Linked DNA regions of Anolis sagrei. The protein of the gene in region 2 interacts with the protein of the main gene of each other region in a biochemical or structural test. Links are inferred from orthologs where the notes say so. Each region holds a gene or a part of one and is shown on either strand. Other genes may lie near its edges.

Region 1 (15,810 bases), on a different chromosome or scaffold from region 2:
GCAGAATGGGGTTGGACTGGATGGCCCAGGAGGTCTCTTCCAACTCTTTGATTCTATGATTCTATGATCTTCCTTTTCTTTCTTTTTTTCTTCCTCTCTCCTCTCCTCTTTCTGTTCTGGAAGGTGCAAGAATGGGGTGGAAATGATCCCCTCACTTTGGGGGGATAATAAAGGAAAGGAAAGATAATATAATAATAGCTTTATTTCTGTACCCTGCCTCCATTTCCCCGAAGGGACTCGGGGTGGCTTCCATGGAGACAAGCCTGATCAACGTAGTTAAAATAAACACATTAAAATACATAAACAACAGCATAAACAAAATAAAACATCAACATTATAGCTAAATATAAAAACAGCCACCAAACCAACCACCAGTGGACCTGAAATAACAGGAAGGAAATGAAATAAAAGGAAAGGAAAGGAGAATTAAGGAGCAACAACAACAATATTTATTATGGTCCAGACCCATCAGTAAATGAACAGCCATGAGAAATTCTCCCATCTCAGGTGACATTCATTGTACAAGATACATCTACAAGATACATCACAGACCTTCTCAACCTCTGAGGCTGCTTGCCATAGATGCAGGCGAAACGTCAGGAGAAATGCCTCTAGAACATGGCTCTATAGCCCGAAAAAACCCACAAGAACCTAGTGATTCCAGCCATGAAAGCCTTCGACAATACATCTACGTGGTTTCAAGTTATACCCCTGCGTTAAGGAGCAAAAAGAGAGTGGCATGAATGGTGGTGGTGGTAGTGGCAAGCCTGCAGTTTAGGGCAAAGGCCTTTGATGGGCTGGATTTGGCCCGTGGGCTGTAGTTTGAGGACCAATGATCTGTTTGCTGATTATTGGTTCAGTCACTTCCAACTCATGGTGACCTCCTGGACCAGCCCAGGCCAGAGCTCCCTGTCAGCTGTGGCCACCCCCAGCTCCTTCAAAGTCAAGCCAGTCCCTGCAAGGATACCATCCATCCACCCACCTTGCCCTTGGTTGGCCCCTCTTCCTTTTTCCTTCCATTTTCCCCAGCATCATTCTTTTCTCCAAGCTTTCCTGTCTTCTCATGATGTGGCCAAAATACTTCATCTTTGCCTCTCATCTCCTTCCCTCCAGTGAGCAGTCGGGCTTTATTTCTTGGAGGATGGACTGGTTGGATCTTCTTGCAGTCCACGGCACTCTCAGAACTTTCCTCCAACACCACAGCTCAAAAGCATCTATCTTCCTTCCCTCAGCCTTCCTTATGGTCCAGTTCTCTCATCCATAGGTGACTATGGGGAATACCATTGCTTTAACTATGCAGATCCTCGTTGCCTGTCTGATGTCACTACTCTTCACTGTTTTATCAAGATTGGCCATTGCTCCCCTCCCAAGAAGGAAACATCTTCTGATTTCCTGGCTGCAGTCTGCATCTGCAGTAATCTTTGCTCCTAGAAATACAAAGTCTCTCACGGCCTCCACGTTTTCTCCCTCTATTTGCCAGCTATCAATCAGTTTGGTTGCCACCATCTTGGTTTTTGTGATGTTGAACTGCAACCCAGCTTTTGCACTTTCTTCTTTCACCTTGGTAAGAAGGCTCCTCAGCTCCTCCTTGCGTTTGGCCATCAAAGCGGTATCATCTGCATATCTAAGGTTGTTAATGTTTCTTCCAGCCATTTTAACTCCAGCCTTGGATTTATCAAACCCCGCACATCGCATGATGTGTTCTGCAGGCAACTTCTTACTTCTTACTTAGGTGATCCCTCATTGTCCGAGTAGGAGAATCCTCCAGGGTGGGTCCGTAGGTGACTATGGAGCCCTATTTGTGATCTGCATCATATCCCGCAATGAAGGCATTGGTTTCCAGGTGGAAGTTGGTCCCGGTCGACAAAAGATTCGCTACTCTGAAGCCTTTGACTGCGTGCATCATAATAAATTGTGGCAAGTTCTTGGTGGCATGGGGAGACCAAGTCACCTTGTCTGTCTCCTAAGGAACCTGGCAAGTGGCAACAGTAAGAACAGACCATGGAACAACCGACTAGTTCAAGATTGGGAAAGGAGTACCACAGGGCTGCCTGCGAAACATGGACTGTCTACAGACATCACATGCAACTCCTGGAACGATTCCATCAGCGCTGCCTCTGGAAAATCCTGCAAATCTCTTGGCAAGACAAGCAGACAAATGTCAGCGTGCTGGAAGAAGCAAATACCACCAGCATTGAAGCGATGCTACTACACCATCAACTCCGCTGGACCAGCCACGTTGTTCGGATGCCTGACCACCATCTCCCAAAGCAGTTGCTCTGCTACGAACTCAAGAATGGAAAATGGAATGTTGGTGGGCAGGAAAAGAGATTTATAGATGGGCTCAAAGTGAACCTTATCATAGAATCATAGAATCAAAGAGTTGGAAGAGACCTCATGGGCCATCCAGTCCAACCCCCTGCCAAGAAGCAGGAATATTGCATTCAAATCACCCCTGACAAACTCAGAGTTAGAAACTCTGGCATAGACACTGAGAACTGGGAAGCCCTGGCCTTTGAGCGCTCCGGCTGAAGGTCAGCTGTGACCAGCAGTGCTGCAAAATTTGAAGAGGCACGAATGGAGGGCGAAAGGGAGAAGCGTGCCAAGAGGAACCGACCGACTTCCACCTGGAAACCGATGCCCTCACTGTGGGAGAAGATGCAGATCAAGAATAGGGCTCCACAGTCACCTACGGATACACCCTGGAAGATTATCCTACCTGAACAACGAGGGATCACCTAGGTAAGTAAGTGAAGAAAACAGAAATAGATGTTTTTCTGAAATTCCTTGCCTTCCATCATTATTCAGCTGATGTTGGCAATTTGGTCTCTTGTTCCTCTGCCTTTCCAAACCCAGCTTGCACATCTGGCAACTCTTGTTCCATGTATTACTGATCTACACCCCTGATCTACATAGTAGAATTAATGCAGTTTCTCATCACTTTGAGCTGCTGTAGCTCAATGCTATATGATCCTGGGATCTGTAGTATTTCTGTAGTAGGCCACCGTTGGGAGTTTTGCAACGGGGCTTTTGCTTTGCCTGAATGGGATCCCTCTCCCGAGGAAGTGCAATGGCTTTCCCACTCCCTTGCAGCCTGAAGTGCCAGTCTCCGGGCACAGACTTTGCAAATAGAAGAAACCAGACAGAAAGGAAAGAAAGGGAATGTGATTATGAGATGCGGCGGCGGAGAAGAAGGCACCCACCTGTCAATTTGCTCCAGGGAGCCACTCCATCTCCACCTTTTGGCCCCCAGTTCCTCCATCCGCGTCACCATTTTTTCTCCGTAAAAGCATTTGCAGATTCATTCAAAGCTCTGGAATGACTTGATGCTGACGAAGGAGACTTTAACGTGGAAATTCGGGGGCCGTAATGACGATCCAATGGCCCATCCGTCAAAGGAAAGAAGCTTCCCGGACTGTTTCAGGCCACTAAAACTGGAGGTGGCTCGAGCCATTAATGTGCATAAACTCCCTGAGGGAGACCAGCCAAGCTGGGCATTTGTCTATGAAAACCACGTTGATGTATTATTTTCAACGTTTATCCTCTCCAAAAGGACTATTTCGGGGGGCGACAAATGGAGGTGGCCACGAGGGACCATCTCTCACCCTTTATGCTTTATTTAGTTTGGTGCAAAGTGAGAAAGGGAATAATCTTTAAACTATTTTGAAGCTGGGTCTTAAATGATTGTATTTGTTTGTTGAGCATTTTAAATCTATCTTCCCCTTTACCTCATCTCAGGCAACCCAGCAAGGCAAGGGAAAAGAGAGAAATGCATCAGATAGAAGATACATATGCAGATAGATGGATGGATAAAGATGTATGGTTTAGATATGTCTTCCTAATGCTGTGACCCCTGAATAGTTCCTCATGTTGTGGTGACCCTGAAACATAAAATTATTTTTGATGCTACTTCATAACTGTCATTTTGCTACTGTTATGAATCATAGAATCATAGAGCTGGAAGAGACCTCATGGGCCATCCAGTCCAACCCCATTCTGCCAAGAAGCAGGAATATTGTATCCAAAGCACCCCTGACAGATGGCCATCCAGCCTCTGTTTCAAAGCTTTCAAAGAAGGAGCCTCCACCACACTCTGGGACAGAGAGTTCCACTGCTGAACGGCTCTCACAGTCAGGAAGTTCTTCCTCATGTTCAAGAACTGCAAGATAATCCAGACAAGAAAAGGCAAGCTTCTTGTTGTTGTTCATTCGTTCAGTCGTCTCCGACTCTTCGTGACCTCATGGACCAGCCCACGCCAGAGCTCCCTGTCGGCCGTCACCACCCCCAGCTCCTTCAAGGTCAGTCCAGTCACTTCAAGGATGCCATCCATCCATCTTGCCCTTGGTCGGCCCCTCTTCCTTTTGCCTTCCACTTTCCCCAGCATCATTGTCTTCTCTAGGCTTTGCTGTCTCCACATGATGTGGCCAAAATACTTCCACTTTGTCTCTCGTCTCCTTCCCTCCAATGAGTAGTCGGGCTTTCTTTCCTGGAGGATGGACTGGTTGGATCTTCTCGCAGTCCAAGGCACTCTCAGCACTTTCCTCCAGCACCACAGCTCAAAAGCATCTCTCTTCCTTCGCTCAGCCTTCCCTAAGGTCCAGCTCTCACATCCGTAGGTGACTACAGGGAATACCATGGCTTGGACTAGGCAATGGATCTTTGTTGCCAGTCTGATGTCTCTACTCTTCACTATTTTATCGAGACTGGACATTGCTCTCCTCCCAAGAAGGAAGCGTCTTCTGATTTCCTGGCTACAGTCTGCATCTGCAGCAATCTTTGCACCTAGAAATACAAAGTCTGTCACGGCTTCCACGTTTTCTCCCTCTATTTCCCAGTTGTCAATCATTCTTGTTGCCATAATTTTGGTTTTTTTTATGTTTAGCTGCAACCCGGCTTTTGCGCTTTCTTCTTTCACCTTGATGAGAAGGCTCCTCAGCTCCTCCTTGCTTTCGGCCATCAGAGTGGTGTCATCTGCATATCTGAGGTTGTTAATGTTTCTTCCAGCAATTTTTACCCCAGCTTTGCATTCATCAAGCCCCGCACATCCTCGCATGATGTGTTCTGCATACAAGTTAAAGAGGTTGGGTGAGAGTATGCAGCCTTGCCGTACGCCTTTCCCAATCTTGAACCAGTCTGTTCCTCCGTGGTCAGTTCTGACTGTTGCGACTTGGTCCTTGTACAGATTCCTCAGGAGAGAGGGAAAGGGGCTTGGGATGCCCATCCCACCAAGAACTTGCCACAATTTATGATGATCCACACAGTCAAAGGCTTTAGAAGAGTCAATGAAACAGAAAGAGATGTTTTTCTGAAACTCCCTGCCTTTCTCCATTATCCAGCGGATATTGGCAATCTGATCTCTCGTTCCTCTGCCTTTTCTAAACCCAGCTTGAACATCTGGCAACTCTCGCTCCATGTCTTGCTGGAGTCTTCCTTGCAGGATCTTGAGCATTACCTTACTGGCATGAGAAATAAGGGCCACTGGACGGAAGTTTGAGCTTCTTAGTTGAACGCAAAGTTGCTTTGACAAAGTTTGGTCTCAAACACACGGCTTAATACCCTTTACAAAACATGAAGGCGTTTCTTTGGCCTCTGGCCTCCCTCTTGTTAGCTATCCTCTCACTCCTTTGAACGGTCAGCCTGATCTAAGGTTCCCATTTCGTCAAGGTCAATCTGTTCGTTAGTGTCACCCTGTTTCCCTGCTTGCTCATTATCAGGCTGAGAACTGCCCTCCTTCTCTGAGTCAATCTGCACCTGCACCTGGCTATTTCCAGTATCAACACTCTCATGCCTTGCTGTGGGAAACTGCACTTCTTCACTGACTATAACAGGGACATTTTGAACCAAACTATGAACCTGAGTCCCATCCTCCTCATCAGAGACACTCTGTGATTCCAGCTGAGTCACAACAGGGTGATCCTACTATAAATACAGCAGAGTACTCGAAGTAAACTTCATAACCAGATTTTTATTTATTTATTTATTTACTATACTTGTATACCGCCGTTTCTCAGCCCAACAGGCGACTCAACGCGGTTTACAACAAGGATAAAAAACAATCAGTGATATACAATTTAACTTTGCTACATCTTCAAGGGGGAAGGAGATAGTGGAAAGCAAGAAGAGTAAAGACAAAGCCCCTTCTGCGATAAGCATGCATAGGAATGTGAGGGGAGGAATCCCTCACTATGATCCTATTTGTAGTAACTACTCATTGAGGACTGGAGACTTGATAACACAAGAGACTTGTGCAGTCCAGGGACCGGGTTGTCATGCAACTGGTTGGGAGTCAGCTGCATCAAAATCACTACTGACCAAGAGGTCATGAGTTCGAAGCCAGCCTGGGTCAGAGTGAGCTTCCGGCCATTTGTCTAGCTTGCTGTCGACCTTTGCAGCCCGAGAGACAGTTGCATCTGTGAAGTAGGAAATTTAGGTACCGCTTATGCAGGGAGGGTTGTTGTTGAGCTATATGGTCACGTTCTAGAAGCATTCTCTCCTGACATTTCGCCTGCATCTATGGGAGGCATCCTCAGAGGTTGTTAGATCCTCACAACCTCGGAGGATGCCTGCCATAGATGCAGGCGAAACGTCAGGAGAGAATGCTCCCATGACCTCACAACCTCTGAGGATGCCTGCCACAGATGCAGGCGAAACATCAGGAGAGAATGCTTCTGTAACATCACAACCTCTGCGGATGCTTGCCATAGATGCAGGTGAAACATCAGGAGGGAATGCTCCCGTGACCTCACAACCTCTGAGGATGCCTGACACAGATACAGGTGAAACCTCAGGAGAGAATGCTTCTGTGACTTCACAACCTCTGGGGATGCCTGACATAGATGCAGACAAAATGTTAGGAGAGAATGCTCCTGGGACCTCACAACCTCTGAGGATGCGTGCCATAGATGCAGGTGAAACATCAGGAGAGAATGTTCCTGGGACCTCACAACTTCTGAAGATGCCTGCTACAGATGCAGGTGAAACATCAGGAGAGAATGTTCCTCGGACCTCACAACCTCTGAGGATGCCTGCCACAGATGCAGGAGAAACATCAGGAGAGAATGCTCCTGGGACCTCACTACTTCTAAGGATACCTGCCAAAGATGCAGTCGAGACATCAGGAGAGAATGTTCCTGGGGCCTCACAACATCTGAAGATGCCTGCCATAGATGCAGGCGAAACATCAGGAGAGAATGCTCCTGTAACCTCACAACCTCTGAGAATGCCTGCCACAGATGCAGGTGAAACATCAGAAGAGAATGCTCCCATGACCTCACAACTTCTGAAGAAGCCTGCCATAGATGCAGGTGAAACATCAGGAGAGAATGTTTCTGTGACCCCACAACCTCTGAGAATGCCTGCCACAGATGCAGGCGAAACGTCAGAATGCTTCTGTGTCTTCACAACCTCTGGGGATGTCTGCCACAGATGCAGGCGAAACGTCAGGAGAGAATGCTTCTAGATCATGGCCATATAGCCCGAAAAACCTACAACAACCCAGTTGGACAATACATTTCTTCCAACTCTAAGGGGTCCACATCGGCTCGGCCTGCCACATCTGAGAACATGCACTTCGCCATACGTTCCAACATCTGGAAACATTTTTGGCCCTTAAAACCGAACAAAGCGATTCGGCAAATGCTGTCTTGAGTGGGGAGGGGGATTCGCCGGCGTCTCACAGATGCGCACAAGATGCCAAAGCGTGTCGGACCCCCCCGGACGGGGGGGTCCGACACGCTTTGGCATCTTGTGCGCATCTGTGAGACACCGGCGAATCCCCCTCCCCACTCTGATGCAAAAACCCTGCATCACCCATCACCTGGAGGCTCAATCTCCAACACAGGTGTCATGGAAAGAATTACCTGGCTGCCCTTTGCGCACCCAGGTGTTAATCCCCCCACCTCCCTCTCCACACAACTGTGATTGGGGTGCCTTCTTCGCACCCAGCTCCTGCCGCATTTCATGTGATCCTTGTCGAGATGCTGCTAATCCCGGCCTCTTTTGTCTTGTCTGCACCTGGAGGGTCCCCGGGTCCCTCCCCTCGCTGCTGGAAAAGGTTGCCCGGAAGGGAAGGGTGCCTTCGCCTCTCCAGATGGGCTGCTCTGGTATAAAAGGGGGCTGGCAGAGATGTGGAGACGCAGACAGGAGGAGAGAGAGAGAGACAGAGAGAGGAAGAAGACACAGAGGAAGGACAGAGCAGGAGCATTGCGGACCAGGTAAGGCAAGTTGCTCCTCTCCCTCTTTTGCAGCCTTGGGCAGGTTTGCTCTTCTCTCCTTTTGGATGGATAACACACCCCATCCATTGCCATCCTCCTACTTCTCGTCGTTCTTTCTTGCTAACAGGTCACTTGATCCATTGCAACCCTTCTTTTCTTTAGCTTCCACTTCTCTTCTTCCTCATCTCTTGCATTTTTTGCTTTCTCTACTTCAGTGTTTCTGAACCTGAGGGTTGGGACCCCTGTGGGGGTCGCAAGGGGGTGTCATAGGGGTCACCAAAGACCATCAGAAAACATAGTATTTTCTGTTGGTCATGGGGATTCTGTGTGGGAAGTTTGGTCCAATTCTATCATCGGTGGGGTTCAGAATGCTATTTCGTTGTGGGTGAACTATAAATCCCAGCAACTACAATCTCCAAATGTCAAGGTGTATTTTCTCCAAACTCCACCAGTGTTCACATTTGGGCATATTGAGTATCCATGCCAAGTTTGATCCAGTTCCATCATTGTTTGAGTCTACAGTGTCCTCTGGATGTAGGTGAACTACAACTCCCAAACTCAAGGTCAATGCCCACCAGACCCTCCCAGTATTTTCTCTTGGTCATGGGAATTCTGTGTGCCAAGTTTGATTCAATTCCATCATTGGTGGAGTTCAGAAGGCTCTTTGATTGTAGGTGAACTATAAATCCCTGCAACTACAACCCCCAAATGTCAAGGTCTATTTTCTCCAAACCCCACCAGTGTTCACATTTGGGCATATTGAGTATCCATGCCAAGTTTGATCCAGTTCCATCATTGTTTGAGTCTATTGTGTCCTCTGGATGTAGGTGAACTACAACTCCCAAACTCAAAGTCAATGTTCACCAGACCCTCCCAGTATTTTCTCTTGGTCATGGGAATTCTGTGTGCCAACTTTGATTCAATTCCATCATTGGTGGAGCTCAGAAGGCTCTTTGATTGTAGGTGAACTATAAATCCCTGCAACTACTATTTCCAAATGAAAAGGTCTATTTTCCCCAAACTCTATCAGTGTTCACATTGGGGCATATTGAGTATTCGTGCCAAGTTTGATCCAGATCCATCATTGTTTGAGTCTCTGGATGTAGGTGAACTACAACTCCCAAACTCAAAGTCAATGTTCACCAGACCCTCCCAGTATTTTCTCTTGGTCATGGGAATTCTGTGTGCCAAGTTTGATTCAATTCCATCATTGGTGGAGTTCAGAAGGCTCTTTGATTGTAGGTGAACTATAAATCCCTGCAACTACTATTTCCAAATGAAAAGGTCTATTTTCCCCAAACTCTACCAGTGTTCACATTTGGGCATATTGAGTATCCATGCCAAGTTTGATCCAGTTCCATCATTGTTTGAGTCTACAGTGTCCTCTGGATGTAGGTGAACTACAACTCCCAAACTCAAAGTCAATGTTCACCAGACCCTCCCAGTATTTTCTCTTGGTCATGGGAATTCTGTGTGCCAAGTTTGATTCAATTCCATCATTGGTGGAGTTCAGAAGGCTCTTTGATTGTAGGTGAACTATAAATCCCTGCAACTACTATTTCCAAATGAAAAGGTCTATTTCCCCCAAACTCTACCAGTGTTCACATTGGGGCATATTGAGTATTCATGCCAAGTTTGGTCCAGATCCATCATTGTTTGGGTCTCTGGATGTAGGTGAACTACAACTCCCAAACTCAAGGTCAATGTTCACCAGACCCTCCCAGTATTTTCTCTTGGTCATGGGAATTCTGTGTGCCAACTTTGATTCAATTCCATCATTGGTGGAGCTCAGAAGGCTCTTTGATTGTAGGTGAACTATAAATCCCTGCAACTACTATTTCCAAATGAAAAGGTCTATTTTCCCCAAACTCTACCAGTGTTCACATTGGGGCATATTGAGTATTCATGCCAAGTTTGGTCCAGATCCATCATTGTTTGAGTCTCTGGATGTAGGTGAACTACAACTCCCAAACTCAAAGTCAATGTTCACCAGACCCTCCCAGTATTTTCTCTTGGTCATGGGAATTCTGTGTGCCAAGTTTGATTCAATTCCATCATTGGTGGAGTTCAGAAGGCTCTTTGATTGTAGGTGAACTATAAATCCCTGCAACTACTATTTCCAAATGAAAAGGTCTATTTCCCCCAAACTCTACCAGTGTTCACATTGGGGCATATTGAGTATTCATGCCAAGTTTGGTCCAGATCCATCATTGTTTGGGTCTCTGGATGTAGGTGAACTACAACTCCCAAACTCAAGGTCAATGTTCACCAGACCCTCCCAGTATTTTCTCTTGGTCATGGGAATTCTGTGTGCCAACTTTGATTCAATTCCATCATTGGTGGAGCTCAGAAGGCTCTTTGATTGTAGGTGAACTATAAATCCCTGCAACTACTATTTCCAAATGAAAAGGTCTATTTTCCCCAAACTCTACCAGTGTTCACATTGGGGCATATTGAGTATTCATGCCAAGTTTGGTCCAGATCCATCATTGTTTGAGTCTCTGGATGTAGGTGAACTACAACTCCCAAACTCAAAGTCAATGTTCACCAGACCCTCCCAGTATTTTCTCTTGGTCATGGGAATTCTGTGTGCCAAGTTTGATTCAATTCCATCATTGGTGGAGTTCAGAAGGCTCTTTGATTGTAGGCGAACTATAAATCCCAGCAACTCCAACATTCCCAAATGACAAAATTAATCTTTCCCCCAACCCCACCAGTATTCAAATTTGGATGTATCTGGTATTTGTGCCAAATTTGGTCCAGTGAATGAAAATACATCCTGCTTATCAGATAATTACATTGCAATTCATAACAATAGCAAAATTACAGTTATGAAGTAGGAATGAAAATAATTTGGGGGTCACCACCACATGAGGCCCTGCATTAAGGGGTCGCGGCATTAGGAAGGTTGAGAAACACTGCTCTACTTGGAAAGTTGGACGTGGCATAGGACAGGATGCTGGAACTCTACTAGAGTAACCCAATTGAATTGGTAAGATTTACCTATTATTGTAGGAGTGTGGTGGAGGCTCCTTCTTTGGAGGCTTTTAAGCAGAGGCTGGATGGCCATCTGTTGAGGGTGTTTTGATTTTCCTGCTTCTTGGCAAAATAGGGTTGGACCGGATGGCCCACAATAGTCTTCTATATGATTCTATCCCGGTGACGCAATGGGTTAAATCCTTGTACTAGCAGGACTGCTGACCGAAAGGTCGACAGTTCGAATCCAGGAAGCAGGGTGAGCTCCCGTCTGTCAGCTCCAGCTTCTCGTGCAGGGACATGAGAGAAGCCTCCCACAGGATGTTAACACATCCTGGTGTCCCCTGAGCAAACGTCCTTGTAGATGGCCAGTTCTCCCACACCAGAAGAGACTTGCAGTTTCTCAGTGGGGTGAGCTTCTGTCTGTCAGCTCCAGCTTCTTGGGCAGGGACATGAGAGAATCCTCCCACAGGATGATAACACATCCTGGTGTCCCCTGAGCAAACGTCCTTGCAGATGGCCAATTCTCGCACACCAGAAGAGACTTGCACTTTCTCAGTGGGGTGAGCTCCCATCTGTCAGCTCCAGCTTCTCATGCAGGGACATGAGAGAAGCCTCCCACAGGATGATAACACATCCTGGTGTCCCCTGAGAAAACGTCCTTGCAGATGGCCAATTCTCTCACACCAGAAGAGACTTGCAGTTTCTCAGTGGGGTGAGCTCCCATCTGTCAGCTCCAGCTTCTTGTGCAGGGACATGAGAGAATCCTCCCACAGGATGATAACACATCCTGGTGTCCCCTGAGCAAATGTCCTTGCAGATGGCCAATTCTCTCACACCAGAAGAGACTTGCAGTTTCTCAGTGGGGTGAGCTCCCATCTGTCAGCTCCAGCTTCTCATGCAGGGACATGAGAGAAGCCTCCCACAGGATGATAACACATCTGGGCGTCCCCTGAGCAATGTCCTTGCAGACGGCCAATTCTCTCACCCCAGAAGCAACTTGTAGTTTCTCAAGTTGCTCATGACATGGGAAAAAAACCCTATTATTATGATTATTATTATTCTACCCAGCTTAATAACACAGGAAAGTTGGACTTGGCATAGGATGCTGTGGTGAGTCCTCTCCTAGATCTATGGGATTTACCCATTATTATGATTATTATAATCAGGATTATTTCTACCCAGCTTAATAACACAGGAAAGTTGGACATGGCATAGAATACTTGGACTCTCAGTTGAGTCCTCTATTAGAGTAACCCCATTGAATCTATGGGACTTGCCTATTATTATGATTATTACAATTATGATTATTTCTACCCAGCTTTATAATGCAGGAAAGTTGGACATGGCATAGAATGCTGGGACTCTGCGGTGAGTCCTCTACTAGAGTAACCCCATTGAATCTATGGGATTTACCTATTATTATGATTTTTATAGTTAGGAGCTCCCAGTGGTGCAATGGGTTAAACCCTTGTGCCGACAGGACTGAAGACCAACAGGTCGGAGATTCAAATCCGGGGAGAGCGTGGATGAGCTCCCTCTGTCAGCTCCAGCTCTCCATGCAGGGACATGAGAGAAGCCTCCGACAGGATGATAACACATCCTGGTGTCCCCTGAGCAACGTCCTTACGGACAGCCAATTCTCTCACACCAGAAGCAGTTTCTCAACTCGCTCCTGACATGATTATTGCAGTCATGATTATTTCTGCCTAGCTTAATAACACAGGAAAGTTGGATGTGGCATAGGATGCTGAGACTCTGCAGTGAGTCGGAGATTCAAATCCGGGGAGAGCGTGGATGAGCTCCCTCTGTCAGCTCCAGCTTCTTGTGCAGGGACATGAGAGAAGCCTCCCACAGGATGATAACACATCCTGGTGTCCCCTGAGCAAACGTCCTTGCAGATGGCCAATTCTCCCACACCAGAAGAGACTTGCAGTTTCTCAGTGGGGTGAGCTCCCATCTGTCAGCTCCAGCTTCTCATGCAGGGACATGAGAGAAGCCTCCCACAGGATGATAACACATCTGGGCGTCCCCTGAGCAATGTCCTTGCAGACGGCCAATTCTCTCACCCCAGAAGCAACTTGTAGTTTCTCAAGTTGCTCATGACATGGGAAAAAAACCCTATTATTATGATTATTATTATTCTACCCAGCTTAATAACACAGGAAAGTTGGACTTGGCATAGGATGCTGTGGTGAGTCCTCTCCTAGATCTATGGGATTTACCCATTATTATGATTATTATAATCAGGATTATTTCTACCCAGCTTAATAACACAGGAAAGTTGGACATGGCATAGAATACTTGGACTCTCAGTTGAGTCCTCTATTAGAGTAACCCCATTGAATCTATGGGACTTGCCTATTATTATGATTATTACAATTATGATTATTTCTACCCAGCTTTATAATGCAGGAAAGTTGGACATGGCATAGAATGCTGGGACTCTGCGGTGAGTCCTCTACTAGAGTAACCCCATTGAATCTATGGGATTTACCTATTATTATGATTTTTATAGTTAGGAGCTCCCAGTGGTGCAATGGGTTAAACCCTTGTGCCGACAGGACTGAAGACCAACAGGTCGGAGATTCAAATCCGGGGAGAGCGTGGATGAGCTCCCTCTGTCAGCTCCAGCTCTCCATGCAGGGACATGAGAGAAGCCTCCGACAGGATGATAACACATCCTGGTGTCCCCTGAGCAACGTCCTTACGGACAGCCAATTCTCTCACACCAGAAGCAGTTTCTCAACTCGCTCCTGACATGATTATTGCAGTCATGATTATTTCTGCCTAGCTTAATAACACAGGAAAGTTGGATGTGGCATAGGATGCTGAGACTCTGCAGTGAGTCGGAGATTCAAATCCGGGGAGAGCGTGGATGAGCTCCCTCTGTCAGCTCCAGCTCCCCATGCTGGGACACGAGAGAAGCCTCTCACAAGGATGGTAAAACATCAAAACATCCGAGCTTCCTCTGGGCAACATCCTTGCAGACAGCCAATTCTCTCACACCAGAAGCGACTTGCAGTTTCTCAAGTCGCTTCTGGCATTATTATTATTATTATTATTATATTTATATTTTTACCCAACTTAATAACGCAAGAAAGTTGAACATGGCATAGGATGCTGGGACTCTGTGGTGAGTCCTCTCCTAGATCTATGGGATTTACCCATTATTATGATTATTATAATCATGATTATTTCTACACAGCTTAATAACGCAGGAAAGTTGGACTTGGCATAGGATGCTGGGACTCTGTGGTGAGTTCTCTACCAGAATAACCCCTATGATTTTTTACTTATTATTTTATTATTATTATTATTATTATTATTATTATTATTATTATTATTTGAAACACAACAAGATTTTGATAGGAACCCCAGAAGCCATCCAGTCTGACCCCATCCTGCAATGCAATTATTATTATTATTATTATTATTATTATTATTATTATTAGGGGAGAATCCAGAAAACCAAGCAAAATCCGGAAATGTTATTTCTCCCCGGATCCGAGAATAAGGATTTATAGCTTTTCGGTTTGTTTGGAAGAGGGGGGAACAAGGCGGAAATCTTTGAATAACCTCATGGGAGGCCATGGTGAAGATGGAGCTGGTTTGTTAACTATTCTAGGAAATCAGATACAGACGAATGGATTCATATTACAAGGAAAGAATGTACCCCTTAAACATTGGAAATAACTTTTTTTTAGTCCAGTGCAAGGGTCCTGGGCTATCCTTCTGGGAATCTTTTAGGAATGCATTCAGCAACTGTGCATTCCTGTATAGCAGAAGGGGGGTGGTCTAGATCAGTGTTTCTCAAACTGGGGTTCAGGACCCCATGGGATGTCGCGAAGGGGTGTCAGAGGTTTCGCCAAAGACCATCAGAAAATACAGTATTTTCTGTTGGTCATAGGGGTTCTGTGTGGGAAGTTTGACCCAATTCTATCATTGGTGGGGTTCAGAAGGCTCTTCAATTGTAGGTGAACTATAAATCCCAGCAACTGCAACTCCCAAATGTCAAAGTCTATTTTCCCCAAAATCCACCAGTGTAAACATTGAGTATCAAGTTTGGTCCAGATCCATCATTGTTTATGTCCACAATGCTCTCTGGATGTAGGTGAACTACAACTCCCAAACTCAAGATCAATGACCACCAAACCCTTCTAGGATTTTTTGTTGGTCATGGGAGTTCTGTGTACCAAGTTTGGTTCAATTCCATCGTTGGGAGAGCTCAGAATGCTCTTTGATTGTAGATGAACTATAAATCCCAGCAACTGCAACTCCCAAATGTCAAGGTCTATTTTCCCTAAACTCCACCAGTGTTCACATTTGGGCATATTGAGTATGTGTTCCAAGTTTAGTCCAGATCCATCATTGTTTGCACCCACAGTGCTCTCTGGATGTAGGTGAACTACAACTCCAAAACTCAAGGTCAATGCCCACCAAACCCTTCTTGTTTTTTCTGTTGGTCATTGGAGTTCTGTGTGCCAAGTTTGGTTCAATTCCATCGCTGGGGGAGCTCAGAATGCTCTTAGATTGCTGGTGAACTATAAATCCCAGCAACTACAACTCCCAAATGACAAAATCAATCCCAACCCCACCAGTATTTAAATTTGGTTATGTT
Region 2 (15,321 bases):
CAGAAGTTAATGAGAAAGGAATTAGAAAGTGAGGCTTCTGTAAAAAAGAGACAGAGTGTCAAGCACAAATAAGACCAGTTTGCTTACAAGAAAAGAGAGATAAGCAACCCTTATCCAGGTCTAATGTCAAGAGAAATACTTTCCTTTCAGTCTTGGGTTCTGGAAAAGCTTTATATTGATTCATGGGAAAGAGTTGCTTCAGTTGGGTCAATGTAGGAAATTCAAGACAATCTTGCTTTCAAGTGCTCATAGTTTCATGTATCAAGTTTTTGCCAAGCTCCTGTTTTGTGTATTGGATGTTTTCATGCTGCCTTGATTCATGGATTCTTGCATCTTATTTCATGGATTTTTGTATCTTGTTTTGCCTTGAAGTTCATGGATTGTTCTCTGTTTTGGAACAATATATATTTCAATAAACTGCTTGCTGATTTTACCAAACTGGTAAGGTGTTTAAGGTCAGAGGAGGGTTCCTTCTCTGGTGTACAACAGTAGGTCACCATTTTGCTGCTGTGGTGGAAAGGGACAGCCACCTCACATCACCAGAAGCTCTGCACGGGTATTATAGAACTGGCTGCAGGTGTCAGGACTGCTCTAATTCAGGGGGGAATGTTTTCCCCTAATTCAGGGGGGGACGATGCCTTGAATTTTATAGCCATGTGCCAGCTGTCTTATTTGTTTCTTTTGGGCTTCAAATTCCACTGTTTTTTTCCCCCCTGTATTGGAAATCACTCTGATACTTTACTATTTCAAGTGAAGATCAGTGTACACAGTGCCTAATTTAAATATATAAAGAAGTGCATGCAAAAAGAATTTACTCTCTTGTGAAATATCTCTACTTGAAATGATGGAGAATGTTGCTTTTCTCTCTGATGACTGCGTATCCTCAGGCTGTGAGCATTGTATGTGTCAGTTCTGGAGGCAGGGTTATCCCAAGAAAGCAACTAAAGTGAAAAAGTAAACAGCTCAGACTGAAAGACCCCAACATCTGAGGGATTCAGCTCTCTTTTTTAGTTCCCTCCAACTGCTTCAAATAAAATATTTTCAGTACCTTTTCACTTAGTATTACTGCAACAGAAATATGCTCTTTCAAGATTCCCTAGACAATCCTAATCAGGCATGAGGTTGGAAAAATACCTTCTTTGGAATGCAAAGAACCATCAGCACTGCCATTCTGGGAAATGTGTTTTGTCCCATTGATCCAATTCACTACTCGGAACTCTTTCCATCGCAGGTAAAGAAGAAATTGACACTGTTTTGCTCTATCATGACAACATTGACATGGAAGGGAGCCTGCACAGCTTAGGGAGGAACATTGGGAGACATAGCTACATGATACATATACATCTTCTTATGCAGGATTAGGGTCAGGATTTCATCTCTATTGCTTTATGGTATACTCAGAAGGAATTAACAGGAGTTTAATCAAAGCACCAGCATCTCCTTCTCTGTCTGTGTATATTTGTGTGTATGAAAGAGAGAAAAGAAGAGTGGATAATGAGAGAAAAATAAAAGAGCTGGTGTAACCCAATAAGAAACAAAGTGAACAAACAGTTGTTGTAAACTTTACCTTCTTCCATTATGATGCCCTATTCCCTGGTGAAGTTTATCATTAAAAATGAATTGGTGCCTCTTAGGAATTTATTGCATTATAAAGTCATCATCCTGCAGAATTCATGCAATAACAATCCTGGCAGACCAACAACGGGTAATACATGGTGCCCATTTGCCACCCCTGTAAAATAAAGTCCTTATAATTTGGGTGACAAAATGCTTGAAAAAGAGGAAGTCTAATATTATTTTACTAATAATTTTCCTCAAAAAATGGATGTTATGATTTTCTGATAGTTTAATTATTATATTAGACTAGCCGTCCCCTGCCACGCTGTGGCCCACTCTGGTGGTCATGGGGGTTCTGTGTGGGAGGTTTGGCCCAATTCTATCGTTGGTGGGGTTCAGAATGCTCTGTGATTGTAGGTGAACTACAAATTCCAGCAACTACAACTCCCAAATGTCAAAATTCTATTTTCCCCAAACTCCACCAGTGTTCACATTAGGGCATATCGAGTATTTGTGTAGAGTTTGGTCCAGATCCATCATTGTTTGAGTCCACAGTGCTCTCTGGATGTAGGTGAACTACAACTCCAAAACCAAAGGACACTGCCCACCAAGACTGACAGGTTGGAGGTTCGAATCCAGGGAGAGTGTGGATGAGCTCCCTCTGTCAGCTCCAGCTCCCCATGTGGGGACATGAGTGAAAAGTCCCACGAGGATGGTAAAACATAAAAAAACATCTGGACATCCCCTGGGCAATGTCCTTGCAGACGGCCAATTTTCTCACACCAGAAACAACTTGCAGTTTCTCAAGTTGTTCCTGACACTCACACACAAAACAATCAATCACATAATTGAAGTCACACAGTGAAATTTATTGGCAGGAGTTTCAGGACACATTCTTCCTCAAGAACACTTATTTTTTCATATAAGAGCTGCTTGCCACCAGATGAGGGCATTCCTCTGGGTATCAGAGAACTTAACATAAATGCACATTTACTAGGTAATGAAACATATAGAGTGGTTTGGGCATTTGTTGATGCTTGCCTTCAAATCAGTTTTGACTTATCAACCTTGAAGTTTAACAAAAAATTGCATCATGGCAACCAACTATGAGTTGGTAGCTTACTGAATGAATCCTTACAGATAGCTCAGTTAATGGGGAAAGTGGTACACAAGAAAGTAATCTGTGTGGTGACAAGAGAGTTTCTCAGTTCCCCTTCAAAACAGTCTGGTGTTGCAAACCCTGGCATTTGAGAAGCCAACAGCTTTGTTTGGCATGGAGTGGAAGCTGGTGGCTCCAGTGTGAGTTTGGAAAGAAAGAAGGAAGAACTAAACAGCAAAAAGGAATACACGAATATCTGCTTCCTTCCTACTGCTGCTGCCTTACTTTCCAAGCCTTCTTGTCTTCTGCACATTTTCCATCTGGCTTTTGTTGAGCAATGGTGAGTGGCTGTCTTCTTATAGCTACATGATTTCATAGTATTGAGTCATTACAGTGAAAGTGGTATCAAATCACATTAATTCTACAGTGTAGATGCACCCTAGGTTGGCCAGGACAGATGTAAGAGATTTGCATATTCTTATCAGCAGCCTGGATAGCTCATAACATATGGCTCATCTACAAAGGACTTTATCCCATGAGCAGAAGGAAAGTAGGGGAAAGCATTTGGAAGATTGGGGACTTGTCTTACCCTGGCAGGATCCATTCTTAGGGGATGGTCAGTCATCCCATGTCCTTTTCCTATTTTTTTCCTGCTTCCCCCCAGCTTTCATCCTCTTTCTTCAATCAGGAATCAGTCTTTCCTCTGTTTCCACATTCTGGGAAGACAGATTCCCATGGGCAGCCAGAGGAAGCGGTGGTGTGTCATGGAATGGCCTGTGTGGGACTCCATTTTGTCAGCATGCGAAAAGGGAGAAAAAACTGGAGAAAACTTACATGGGATGAGATCAATAGACCAGTTAGATCAGTGTGATAGCCAATCAACCCCATGGCAGCTAAACCCCACACAGGGGCTGACCTGGCTAATGTGGTTTACCCCAGGTTAATTTAACTTGGGAGAAACCCCAAAACAGGATTCAGGTTGTCCCCTGACTTAGAGTGTTTCAAGTCAGCTGGGTCAATTCCTAACTGGAACCATCTGCAATTGTCTTGAGAACCACCCTGTGCTCCCTGTGCTCAGGCTATGTTAAAATCATCTGCTAGTATCTGGAATGAAGTAGATAAGGAGGGTTTATACTGTCATGGGAAACTCTAGAACTCTTTTAAAAATGAAAACAAGCCCTATTTTAAAATTCTAGGTGGAAATGAATTATTTCTGGGCTAGAGCAAGACCTTAGTGGATTTTCATGATGTCTTACCTTGTCCTTGAGACTTCCAGGGCCTATAAATTATCCATGCAAGTGTACTGGCAGACATGTTTCCTTGAGCTGAACACAGTAATGTTGGAACACAGATGACAAGGATTTCTTCATTCTGGAAAGATGTACTGTACATAGCTATTTGATATATTCAATACATACTACTTCATTCATTCCTTTCAAGGACAGCTGAAATTATGGAATTCATTTCCGAACAACCGATATTAAAAGGAAGCTGTTTTACATTTGTTTCATTAGGAAAGAGATAAAGAAGTGGGAATTGTTAGCTAAGGTAAAAAAAAAGGTTTTTAAAACGCAATAAAAATAACAGGTTTGAGCAAAAATGGAAATCTGACTGTATGTCATGAAAGAAAAAAGGACATTCACGACAGCAAAACAAATAGAAATGTCATCTCTTGAAGGTCACTTCATATTGTGCAGTGTTCGAGATTTGCAGATACAATCTTGAGATCCATTAGAAGTATACAATTATAGTACTATGACTCCACATAAATTGATAGTTACATTCTATGGAATCCTGAAATACACAGTTTATGGAGAGGCATTTAGATTTCTCAGGTAATACCTCACCAAATCCCCGATGCAGCCATGGCAATTAAATTAGAATGAGCCCTTGGTTAATTCTTGGCTTTCCCACTTTTTCAACTGCTTTTAAAATGTCCTACTTTATCTCTCCTTTTTCTACTTTATTTTTTTGTCCTCTGCTTACATCAATTGCTACAAAGTGAATTCAAAATGCAAAAGTAATTTGCATCCAATTAATTCAATGGGAGACAGAAATGAAGAGGGACAGAGTTATGTACTTCCTTGTATGTGTATTTGAATTGTTTTTCTTTTTCAGACTTTCACAGTACATACATTTTAGTGTTTCTCTGCTTACAACAGTTATGTTGTGTGTTCTTCCCTATTAATAACTTTCTTGGACATCTTTTGTCCACATTCTATCCTAGTTATCATCTGTGAAATGTTGGAGAATATCCATGTATATGCCTTCAAGTCACATTTGATTTACAGCAACTCCATGAATTTAAATACTCAGAGATGTTTTTGCCAGTTCTTTCTCCAAAATATAATCCACACTATAATAATAAATAATAAACTTTATTTGTACCCCGCCACCATCTCCCTGAAGGGGACTCAGAGCAACTAACATGGGGCCAAGCTCAAAATTACAGTACAGCAAAATAAAATACAAAGAAGCAGAAAATACCATCAAAATAAATAGATGAAATAACAAAATAAAACAAACACTTAGAAAATAACATTATAGAGAAATTGAACACAGCGGGCGGGCCAAATGCACTAGGATAAAATTGATAAAACCCTGGATGAGATAAGTAGTGAGAGAATGTGTTTCTGAGGGAGGAGCTCAAAAGGAATGAACAATGGGTTAGACCTTCATTAAGTGCATCATGAGGATGGAAATGTAGTTGGAACAGACAAAATATGGAATATATGTGGAATATATGTTCACTCACCACAGTATCTGGTATTTACTGGTAGTTTCCCATCCAAGTACTAACAAGAGCTGACCCTACATGGCTTCCAAAGTTCTGGTGTCTTTAAGGAGCGTATTTTGCTGTAAATGTTTAAGTAGTCATGTGAATTGGTTTCAGCTTTTTCAAGAACCACGGATTTGGGGTCCAAAGCTCCAAAGTTGGAATGAGACCTGGATTGGTTGAAGGCAAAGAAACAGAGGGCCCTTCCACACAGCCATATAACCCAGAATATCAAGGCAAAAAATCCCACAATATCTACTTTGAACTGGGCTATCTGAGTCCACACACTGCCATATATCCCAGTTCAAAGCAGATAATGTGGGATTTTATTCAGCTGGGTGGAAGTGGCCAGAGACTTTATTCACTCTGGCCAAAGTGAATGCCAGCAGAGTCTGCACTCTCAAAACTGATGTGAGGTAATGAAAACATACAGAATCATGTATAGGACTTTGACAGCAGTTTAAACCAAAGAACTTTTGCACTGATTGGGTCAGACAGGGGCCAGCTAGGATCCACATGCTGGTTGGCCAAGACAAGTCATCTACCACTTTCATTTATAGGTTTCTGGCCTGGCAGGAATTGTAATAAATGGTCAGTGCTCCATTTGAGGATTTGTGCCTGCTTCTTGGTCCACTTCCAGAAAATGCATGGGAGAAAGGAATGTGGATAGAGTTTGAGTGCTAATAGCATCATTCCTGTTTGCCTAGAGTAGGACAATGTATCTTGATCAGCTAAATAATGGTGGAAAGGGTGTTGCGTGTTTTGAATGGGTTCCCAGGAAAAGGGTCTGGCAGAGAGCTGGGGAACTTGCGTGACCTTTCAGTCTGAGTTCACTGCTAGATCATGTATCTAAATATTGTGAGGTATGTCTACTACCTGGATGAATGATGGGATTTGCCCTGAAATGTGTGTATGTGTTTATGTAACTTGGTAGATACAGGTTTAAGGTTGCCTACTGATGTTAGCTGAACTGAGTTTCTGGGGGAAAAGTCACCCATAGGCTCCATGTCTTGGTACGATGTGGGTATTGGAGATCCGTTTTAGGCTCCTAGAGTTTCAAGAACAGTCAGGTACACACTTTTTGTCTAACATATCCATAAATTCCTTTATTCATAGCTTGAAAATGTTTACAAAAGTCATGAAAGCAAACGTTGATTTTGCCATTGTAAATAAGGGACACCATTTTACTATGCCATTGTATCCATGGGGGGAGGGGGAGCCCTACACAGGAAACCAATCCCCAATGAATACTACTGTGAACTGTATGCCAAAAAAAATTAAAAATACAAAGCATTTCTAGTCTGCCTTTCTCAGCCCTAAGGCAACTCAAGGTGGGTTACAGATTGGCTCAAGGGAGTTATTTCTATGATGAGGGTGTTCCTGCCAGGCTCCTTCTTCACTGCCATATAATCCAGATTTTCAAAGCAAATAATCTAGATTTTATGTGGCAGTGTAGAAGGGTCCCCAGACTGGCTAGTAGTTTCATTCCTTTATATGTTGCTCATTCACAGTTCCTTTATTTCCATGGATACTCAGGATACAGTGTTTGAATCAACTGGTCTAAACATTCAAAGTCGCTGCAATTTTATGGAGGGGTTTTGACTTTGGTACAGCATATAATAATAATAATAATAATAATAATTATTATTATTATTATTATTATTATTATAATAATAATAGTGATCTTGACATACCTCATGAAAGGAAAGCAACACCATCACCACTATGATTTATTTGATCTATAACATAGGAAATTATTATTTTCTTTGCAAGGACAAATAGAAGCAGATCATATTTTCTTACTCATTTATTGATTTGATTCACACCCAGAGTTTCTCTCAGATCTGACATTCAAGGCAGCTTGTGCTTAAAACATTTGCAGAAAAAAATGCCATGTATTTGTATACTAAAATCATTATTTTAAAACACAATTGAATGATGAGTTTTTAAACACACATGCCATTGGAAGCCCCATCCTGAACAACTGATCAGTTGCCAAAAGCTTCCTGAATAAAATGATATTTAAGAGAAATTCTTTGCAGAAATTTTTTAGAGAAATTCTTTGCAGAAATCTAGAGAAACAAAAACAGCCTCCTCTCCTGTTAACACTCAGCAGCTGTATTGCACAGGAAAATGTTTTACCAAACTGTAGAAATCTGAAATGCATCCAGCTCCTCCTGCCCTCACACATCCTTTTCTCTCTATTGGCTGGATAGTAAACTGGAGGTGGAACTTGCTTCTAACTACCTTCCCTGTTCCAACACAGTACAAGTAACAGCAGCAGGCAGGCTGGCATTGCACAGAAAACTGAGTACTATGTATGGCTTGAAATGATTTTTTCTTTTTTAGAACTCATCAGCTGGAACTGAAAGCATTGTGGCTCCTCTTGAGGTTCGATTCTCACAGAGAATGGAAGTACTTCACCAAATTCCAGGCTATATGAAAGAGAAGCAGCACTCAGCTATACAATCTCAGAGGCTACAGGCGCATATGGCGTTGAATGAGTCAACTCTGGCTGCAAAACATTGCATCTTTATCTTGCTTCTTGGAATCTGCTTTCCTGCCGTTGCATCCCTTGTCACTGTTTGGAACAGCCCCCTCTCATGAAAAACATATCCACAGATTCATTCAAAGAGGTGGAGACTGGAGAGAGAGGTGGATTGAATTCAAAAACTGACAAAAGGATTGTTAGCTCTTGAATCACTGCTTTTTGGAAGATGAACTTCACCTACCACTACGGGATTCACCAGCATCTTGACTTGTGGAACCACAGCTACAGACTACATGGTGGAGTCATGAACCGATCCCTGGGGAAGAGTTACTCTTCAGAAGGATGCTACGAGCAACTTTTTGTCTCACCGGAAGTATTTGTTACCCTCGGCTTTGTCAGCTTGTTAGAGAATGTCCTGGTGATCGTGGCTATAGCCAAGAACAAGAATTTGCATTCCCCGATGTATTTTTTCATTTGCAGCTTAGCTGTAGCAGATTTACTTGTGAGTGTCTCCAATGGGTCGGAAACTATCGTTATCACCCTCTTGAACAACACTGATGTGGGCGCCCACAGTTTCACGGTCAGCATTGACAATATTATTGACTCGGTGATCTGCAGCTCCTTGCTTGCCTCAATTTGTAGTCTGCTATCCATAGCTGTGGACAGGTACTTTACGATCTTCTATGCTCTCCAGTACCATAACATCATGACAGTCCGGCGTGTAGGTATCATTATCACCTGCATCTGGGCTGCTTGCACTGTTTCAGGCATCCTGTTCATCATATACTCCGACAGTAGTGTGGTCATCATTTGTCTCATCAGCATGTTTTTTACCATGCTAGTCCTCATGGCATCTCTCTATGTCCACATGTTCCTGCTGGCCCGGCTGCATATTAAAAAGATCGCTATTCTCCCCGGCACGGGACCCATCTGTCAACGGGCCAACATGAAGGGGGCAATCACTTTGACCATTTTGATTGGGGTTTTTGTGGTGTGCTGGGCCCCACTCTTTTTCCATTTGCTTTTCTACATCTCTTGCCCCCACAATCCATACTGCATCTGCTTCATGTCACATTTTCACCTGTACCTCATCCTCATCATGTGCAATTCCATTATCGATCCACTTATTTATGCCTTCCGGAGTCAAGAGCTGAGGAAAACCTTCAAAGAGATTATGTGCTGTTACAGCCTGCGAGAGCTGTGTGATTTCTCCAGCAAATACTGAATGGACACAGTGAAGCTCTTTTACTTACGCACCTTTTACAGAGGCTGACATTTCCTCCAGTGTTTCTAAGACTGTGGGCTAGATGGATGAGAAAGAACCCTGCTTTACTGGAATTATTAAATGTATTTCTCTGCTTTTATGCTTGTCAAGCCATTGAGTGTAATTATTTAAATGTTAAAGTGTTGCTCCTGCTTAAGGTTAGGAATGTCTCTACAGACTGTTATTAAAGGAACATGTGCCCATATTTTCAAAACTGTGATATAGTTAGAACAATAATATTGAGGACTAAGCAAGAAAATATTGCCTTAATATATCTTGCATGCATCACTGTTCTTTGCCTTGCTCTATTAAGCTACTTATGTTTGAAAGCAGGATTTTTTTTTTGCCTTGCACAAAGATATTTAACTTGAAATGTGATGAAAATATTATCTTTTCCACTGAGCTCAGGTGCTCCACAACTTTTTCATAAGCAGATGTGATAACTCCTGTCGGATTTCCTTCCTGGCTGGATCTACACTGAGTCCTCACTGCCATATGTTCCACTTCAAAGCACATAATCTGGATTTTATATGGCAGCAAATAAAGGACCTCAGTTGTAATCATCACTGTATCGGGTGGAGGGGAGGTGGAATGATTTTGTCACAGTACCAAGACATTTTTTTCATCCATCTCTGTTGTAATGTAATATATATTGATTTGGTGTTGAATGTGAAATCAAGACCCATTAACTTTACAAAAGACCTGCTACTGGAGGAGATAAAAGCTGGCAGAATTTGTTTGTGAATCTCCTTGTGGATCATGGGAACTATTACAAGTGCCTCCACCTCTAAAACTCTCATTAAACCACTGATAAACCACTGACAACTTTCTGTAAAGTAAATAGCCCCTGCTGATTTAATATGAGAGAGAACTAAAGTAGTTCTGTTGCATTAATTATGATTACTACTAGACTTGTTTGGGAAATTAGTATTTATGTTTGAATTAATGAACATCGTTCTCTCCTCACTCTCCCTGGTAATGTTCACATTTATTCACAACCCTGAGAAAAATAATTTATACTTCCTTTTAATAATATTTTTATTTAGGGGGTAGACAAGGAGAGGGGTAAACAAAAATGGGGGTAATTTGTTCATACATTTAAAGTGGGGAAACAATACTATGTATAGAAAGCAAGAAAGAAGTAAAATTTAAAAAGAAGAGAGAGAAAAAACCATTGGTGACTTCCATCTAATCCTTTGTGGTTTAAAAACTTATTCTATCAAGAAAATAGCACACCTTCGATGTTTGAGGCACAAAAACCAAGCTCTTGAATTTAATCTATTATTAAGTCCATTCTACAATGTCCCTTTGGGAAGAAGCAACTTTAAGTGCTTCTTTTTTATTTTTTCATTCTTTCATATTTCTCTATATGTGTCCAATTTGTCTGACCGGGCTTCCCGAGTTAGAAACATAATTTATACTTATTGACTTGCTCTTGCTCAATGTATTGGAGTGCCTTTCCACAAAATGCTCAAGATTGATGTGTGCCCCTATGTTAAATACAAAACTATGCTATTTGAAGTAATACTGCTGCTTTTAAATCCTAGGTAGAAGCAAAGCCAGGAATGAAAGCAGCAACACTCAGCTTAAAGTGCTCAGCTTTAAAAGCTAAATTAAAGTAGGTCCAAATTAATGTGCTACAGCAATCCTGGCCTTGGGAATCCAGATCAGTTATTAGTATCTAATTATGTTCTGATACAGAACCATCTTTTAAAAAGAAACACACATTAACCAAACACACACCATGGGTTTTTTAATATATATAATGAAAATGTTTATAACATATACTCCCTTCCTAGAACATTGAGTACAGCTAATGGGATGCATACCAGTCCTTACAGGAAAAAAATATAATTACAGCCCAGTTGGATTTACAAAAAAAAAAAAAAATCATAATGCCACAAGAAGCAACAATAAAAACAAAAATGTGCACAACATAAGTAAAGATACTGATCATCCAGGGTCCTTTAAAACCACACTATAATTCCACTTTATTCCTTTATTGGATTTGTGCCCCTCTTTTCTTTCAGGCCCCTTCCACACTGCCACTATAGCCCAGGATCTGATCCCAGATTATCTTCATATCGCAGTGGAGATTCAGACTCCTTCCACACTGCTATATAATCCAGATGATCAAAGCAGTAATCTAGATTATCTGCTTTGAACTGGATTATGAGAGTCTACACTGCCATATAATCCCGTTCAAAGCAGATAATCCGGATTTTATATCACAGTGTAGAAGAGGCCTCATATATTCCAGTTTAAAGCAGATAATCTAGTATCAGTTATTGAGCTATAGGGAGTGTAGAAGAGGCCACAGACTGAGATTCAAAGTGGCTCTGCCTAGACCTACACTGCAATATAACCCTGTTCAAAGCGGATAATCTGGAGTGTATATAGCAGTATAGATGGGGCCTTAGATAAGACTTCTTTACCCATTGTCACTCTTTTTTATCTGCTGTGGGCACTGATTATTTCATTAATTTATGCAATGTTGTTTACACATTCAAATGTTTTTATGTATTCCTGTTATATTGTTTTACTATTTTTATTATTACATGTTACTGGGTTTATAATTGCAAACCATCTTGGGTGATTGCTTGTCCTGAATGGTAGTTTAAACACTTAAAGAAAAAATAAATAAAAACGCTGTTGGTGGAATCATCACCATCATCACCATTGTTGTTACTTATTGGTGTCTTAGACCATGGTTGCGACTATGTGTTATAGGCAAATGAATTTGGTTTTCCCTGTTACAACCTGAAATTAACAGAATTTTCTATAGCTTGTCCTTGGAGAGTGATTGACTGCTCTAAAACTTGGCAATATAAAGAATGTCAGGATGGAAAATTCCAAAATGTGGTGTAGAAATAGTAAGAAATGGCCAAGTGAAATGAACTTGAAGTTTGATGCATTATGTTCCTTTAAATACCTGTCCATCCACATACAGACCCTATGAATCTTATATGATTTTCTAAGGTAATGACTACTCGGATGTATTTTTCATTGCTTTCCTATGAAATATAACTCACAGAACCTGGTATTCAGTCTCCCATTCAACTATCCACCAGACCTGGCTCTTCTTAGCTTCCAAGATCAAACAGACAACCTCTTATTATTTGTGTGCATTTCATTTTCTGTGTACTTGTCCAAAGTTAAGATTTTGCAGAAAACATTTCCCCATTTGCCCATCTTTCAGAAAACAATTTGATGGATTGAATCAGGGAGAAGGTCATGTATGACCTTTGTATAGTAAGAAGAAAACCAACAGTCTTAGTAGAAGAAAAAATGTTTACAGTTTTGTTAAAAAAAGCACTTTTGTGTCCCATTCTATTTTATGGACTTCTTTGTAAGCACAATACATGTTGTCTATCCAGTAGAATTCTTGTAGGAGGTAACAGGAGGAAACAGACAGAAGTGTGGTTGGGTATTACTATTCACTTGTACAGAAATCCACATAGACTCTGGACCAATGGAGAGCTTGTGTGTAAAAATAGAAAGAAAGAAAGAAAGAAAGAAAGAAAGAAAGAAAGAAAGAAAGAAAGAAAGACCTACTCTATGGAAGAAGGTAGTATAACTCACCAAATCAAGATGAGGTAGTAGATGACGCTTTTCTGAAATAATCATCTGGAAACTCCCAAAACCAAGAACCAGTAGTTATGGGAGATTTCAATTATCTTAATACCTGCTGGGAAGCTAATTCTGAGCGTGACTTCTGTTGTTGTCACCCCCCCCTCCCCCAACATTAACTATGCTGTGTCGTAGACATTGTGACCCATCATCATTTGGAGTGGTACACATATTCCATTTTGAACCACTGAGGGAGGTCATTTATCTTGCCTAGTTTACTGTTGCTGGGGTGTAATTCTGGAAGGGAAATTCTTATCTTGATGCACAAAAATCAGTTATATTTATTATGATATTTAGAAAAATTGGAATGCATACTATTTCGGTAAAACTGCTCTTCTATTCAACATTAACTGGTGGCTTAGGGGCAGTGAATTTATGCTAGGTTTTTGTCCATATATTTAAGAAGTTGCTAAACAATTCAAATTCATATTAAACCTGGGGTGGATTTACGGAGGGCATGTCTAGACAGTGCCAAAATCCACATTTTAAATGGGGAGTAAAAAATCTTGGGACCTGAGAACATGTCCCTATTTTCACCTGTTAGTCCCAGGATTGGGTCCCCCACCATCTTCACAGGCTTCCTCTGCATTGGAACAAGATGGAGGGTGGGCGGGGGACATCCGGTGGAATTTTTTACTGGACTGTATATGTGCACATGCAAATATCTTAATATAAATACAAGCAGAGTTGTATGTACATATATGAGGTCCGGCGCATAACAAAGTGAATAAACAAACCACTTACGCCAGATTTCACCCTTCCTTCAATTGTTTATTCCAGCTCTGTTTCAGAGAGTTATAATTACTTTCCACTTGTGCTTTCCTTGCACCACTCATGTGCCCATTTGAAACGCCAATCCACTGATGAGCTGTTTCAGGCTTTTTAAAAGCACAAGTACACTGTAGCAGTCTCAACAAGAGGGAGGGAAGGAAATCACATGTTTTTTGTGAGCGCAGGGATGCACAGTGACGTGAATATGCATACTTTCCAGCTGGAATCAGGATATAAGTGGACCTTTTGAACACATGTTTTTTTTTTGTCTGTTGCAATGAATCAGTACGGATTTACCACTAGTATCATCTATCCCCCCCCCCCCTTTTAACTTGGTAACTTCTGCATTTTAGGTGCTGTGTAGTAGGGCCCCAAGTCACTAATATGAAAGACACTAGTTGTAACTATGGCTCCTTCTGCACGGCCATAAAAAATCCACATAGACTCCACATATTCCAGATTACCAAAGCATATCATCTGCTTTGAATGGGATTATATGGCAGTGTAGACTAATACAATCCAGTTCAAAGCAGATTATGTGGATTATCTGCTTTGGTAATCTGGAGTATAAGGAATCATAGAAAAGGCCTGGATTTATTTTGTGCACCACTTCCTCCTCATTCATTAAGAGCTTTTCCAAGATTTTTTCTTTCACCTCTTTCCCTAATATGTTTGAGCCCTGTCCAAAATCATATTATGACGTCATTAAAGCTGAACTAGCATATAATTAAAGGAAAATGCATTCTGATGATCAGCACAATAATTTCAAATAGCACATGATTGAAGAAAATGCATTTTAATGAATACAAAAAAATGTTTTAAAAGCAAGCATTTATTCCTGAGAAAAAATATGTAGCATTCTATTTTTCAAAAGAAATTTAAAAGTTCACATTTAGATATCAGAAATTATATAGTACACTACATGATCATTTCTAAAATTATCTAATTTTTGCAATTGTTAGGACTTGAAAGATGTGACAGTACCAGGATGACTGAAACATAACTTCTGTAGTATTAATCTCCCACCAGCCCATTCCCTTGATTTACACTTTGTGCAAATAAGAACATAGATGCATAGCAACAAAATGTTCATTTGTAGTGATGAAGACATAAAATTTGATACAGATATTCTTGTATTTGTACATACTTTTACCATGAGATTTTAGAAAATGGCAAGGAACATTTAAAATTATGATACCAATTACATTTACCATTCTATAATTTTGAAAAAATCACAAGAATTCACCTGAAGTGTAATAAAACACCAAAAGGGTAAAAGTCTCATTATTAAACCTCAAAATTGTCCTATTATATATCTGCCAAAAAGTAGAGTGGTCTACCAGCATCTACCAACACATTTCCACTACCCAGACAGCCACCTCTCCACAAAAGTTGACGTCAACACTGAAATAAAACATCTTTTGAGTTCTGTGAATGCAACATTTTTTTGAATGAAGCAGAGTTTGCTTGAAGATCAGGACATTCATAGGGATACCAAGATGCTTGTTTATAAAGCTATTGTCCTCCCAACCCTGTTATATGCCTGCAAATTGTGGATTGTCTACAAACATCACTCTCAACTTCTGGAAATATTCCATCAGCGTTGCCTTCAAAAAAAACTTGCAAATCTCTTGGGAAGAGGCAAACATTAGCGTTCTGAAGAAGCAAAGACCACCAGCATTGAAGTGATGATTCTTCGCCATCACTGGGCCAGCCATGTTGTCCAAACGCCT

The links.
Region 1: the proteins of MC4R (region 2) and pro-opiomelanocortin form a complex in vitro, tested with the Homo sapiens proteins (2 studies listed by BioGRID). The link is inferred for Anolis sagrei from reciprocal best matches to the Homo sapiens genes MC4R and POMC.

The regions. Positions count from the first base shown.
Region 1 is NC_090021.1:5,503,923-5,519,732, reverse strand, and holds the start of pro-opiomelanocortin, read left to right. Parts: upstream 1-7,931; 5' UTR 7,932-8,213; intron 8,214-15,810.
Region 2 is NC_090024.1:91,500,470-91,515,790, reverse strand, and holds MC4R (melanocortin receptor 4), read left to right. Parts: upstream 1-7,727; 5' UTR 7,728-8,149; coding exon 8,150-9,148; 3' UTR 9,149-10,028; downstream 10,029-15,321.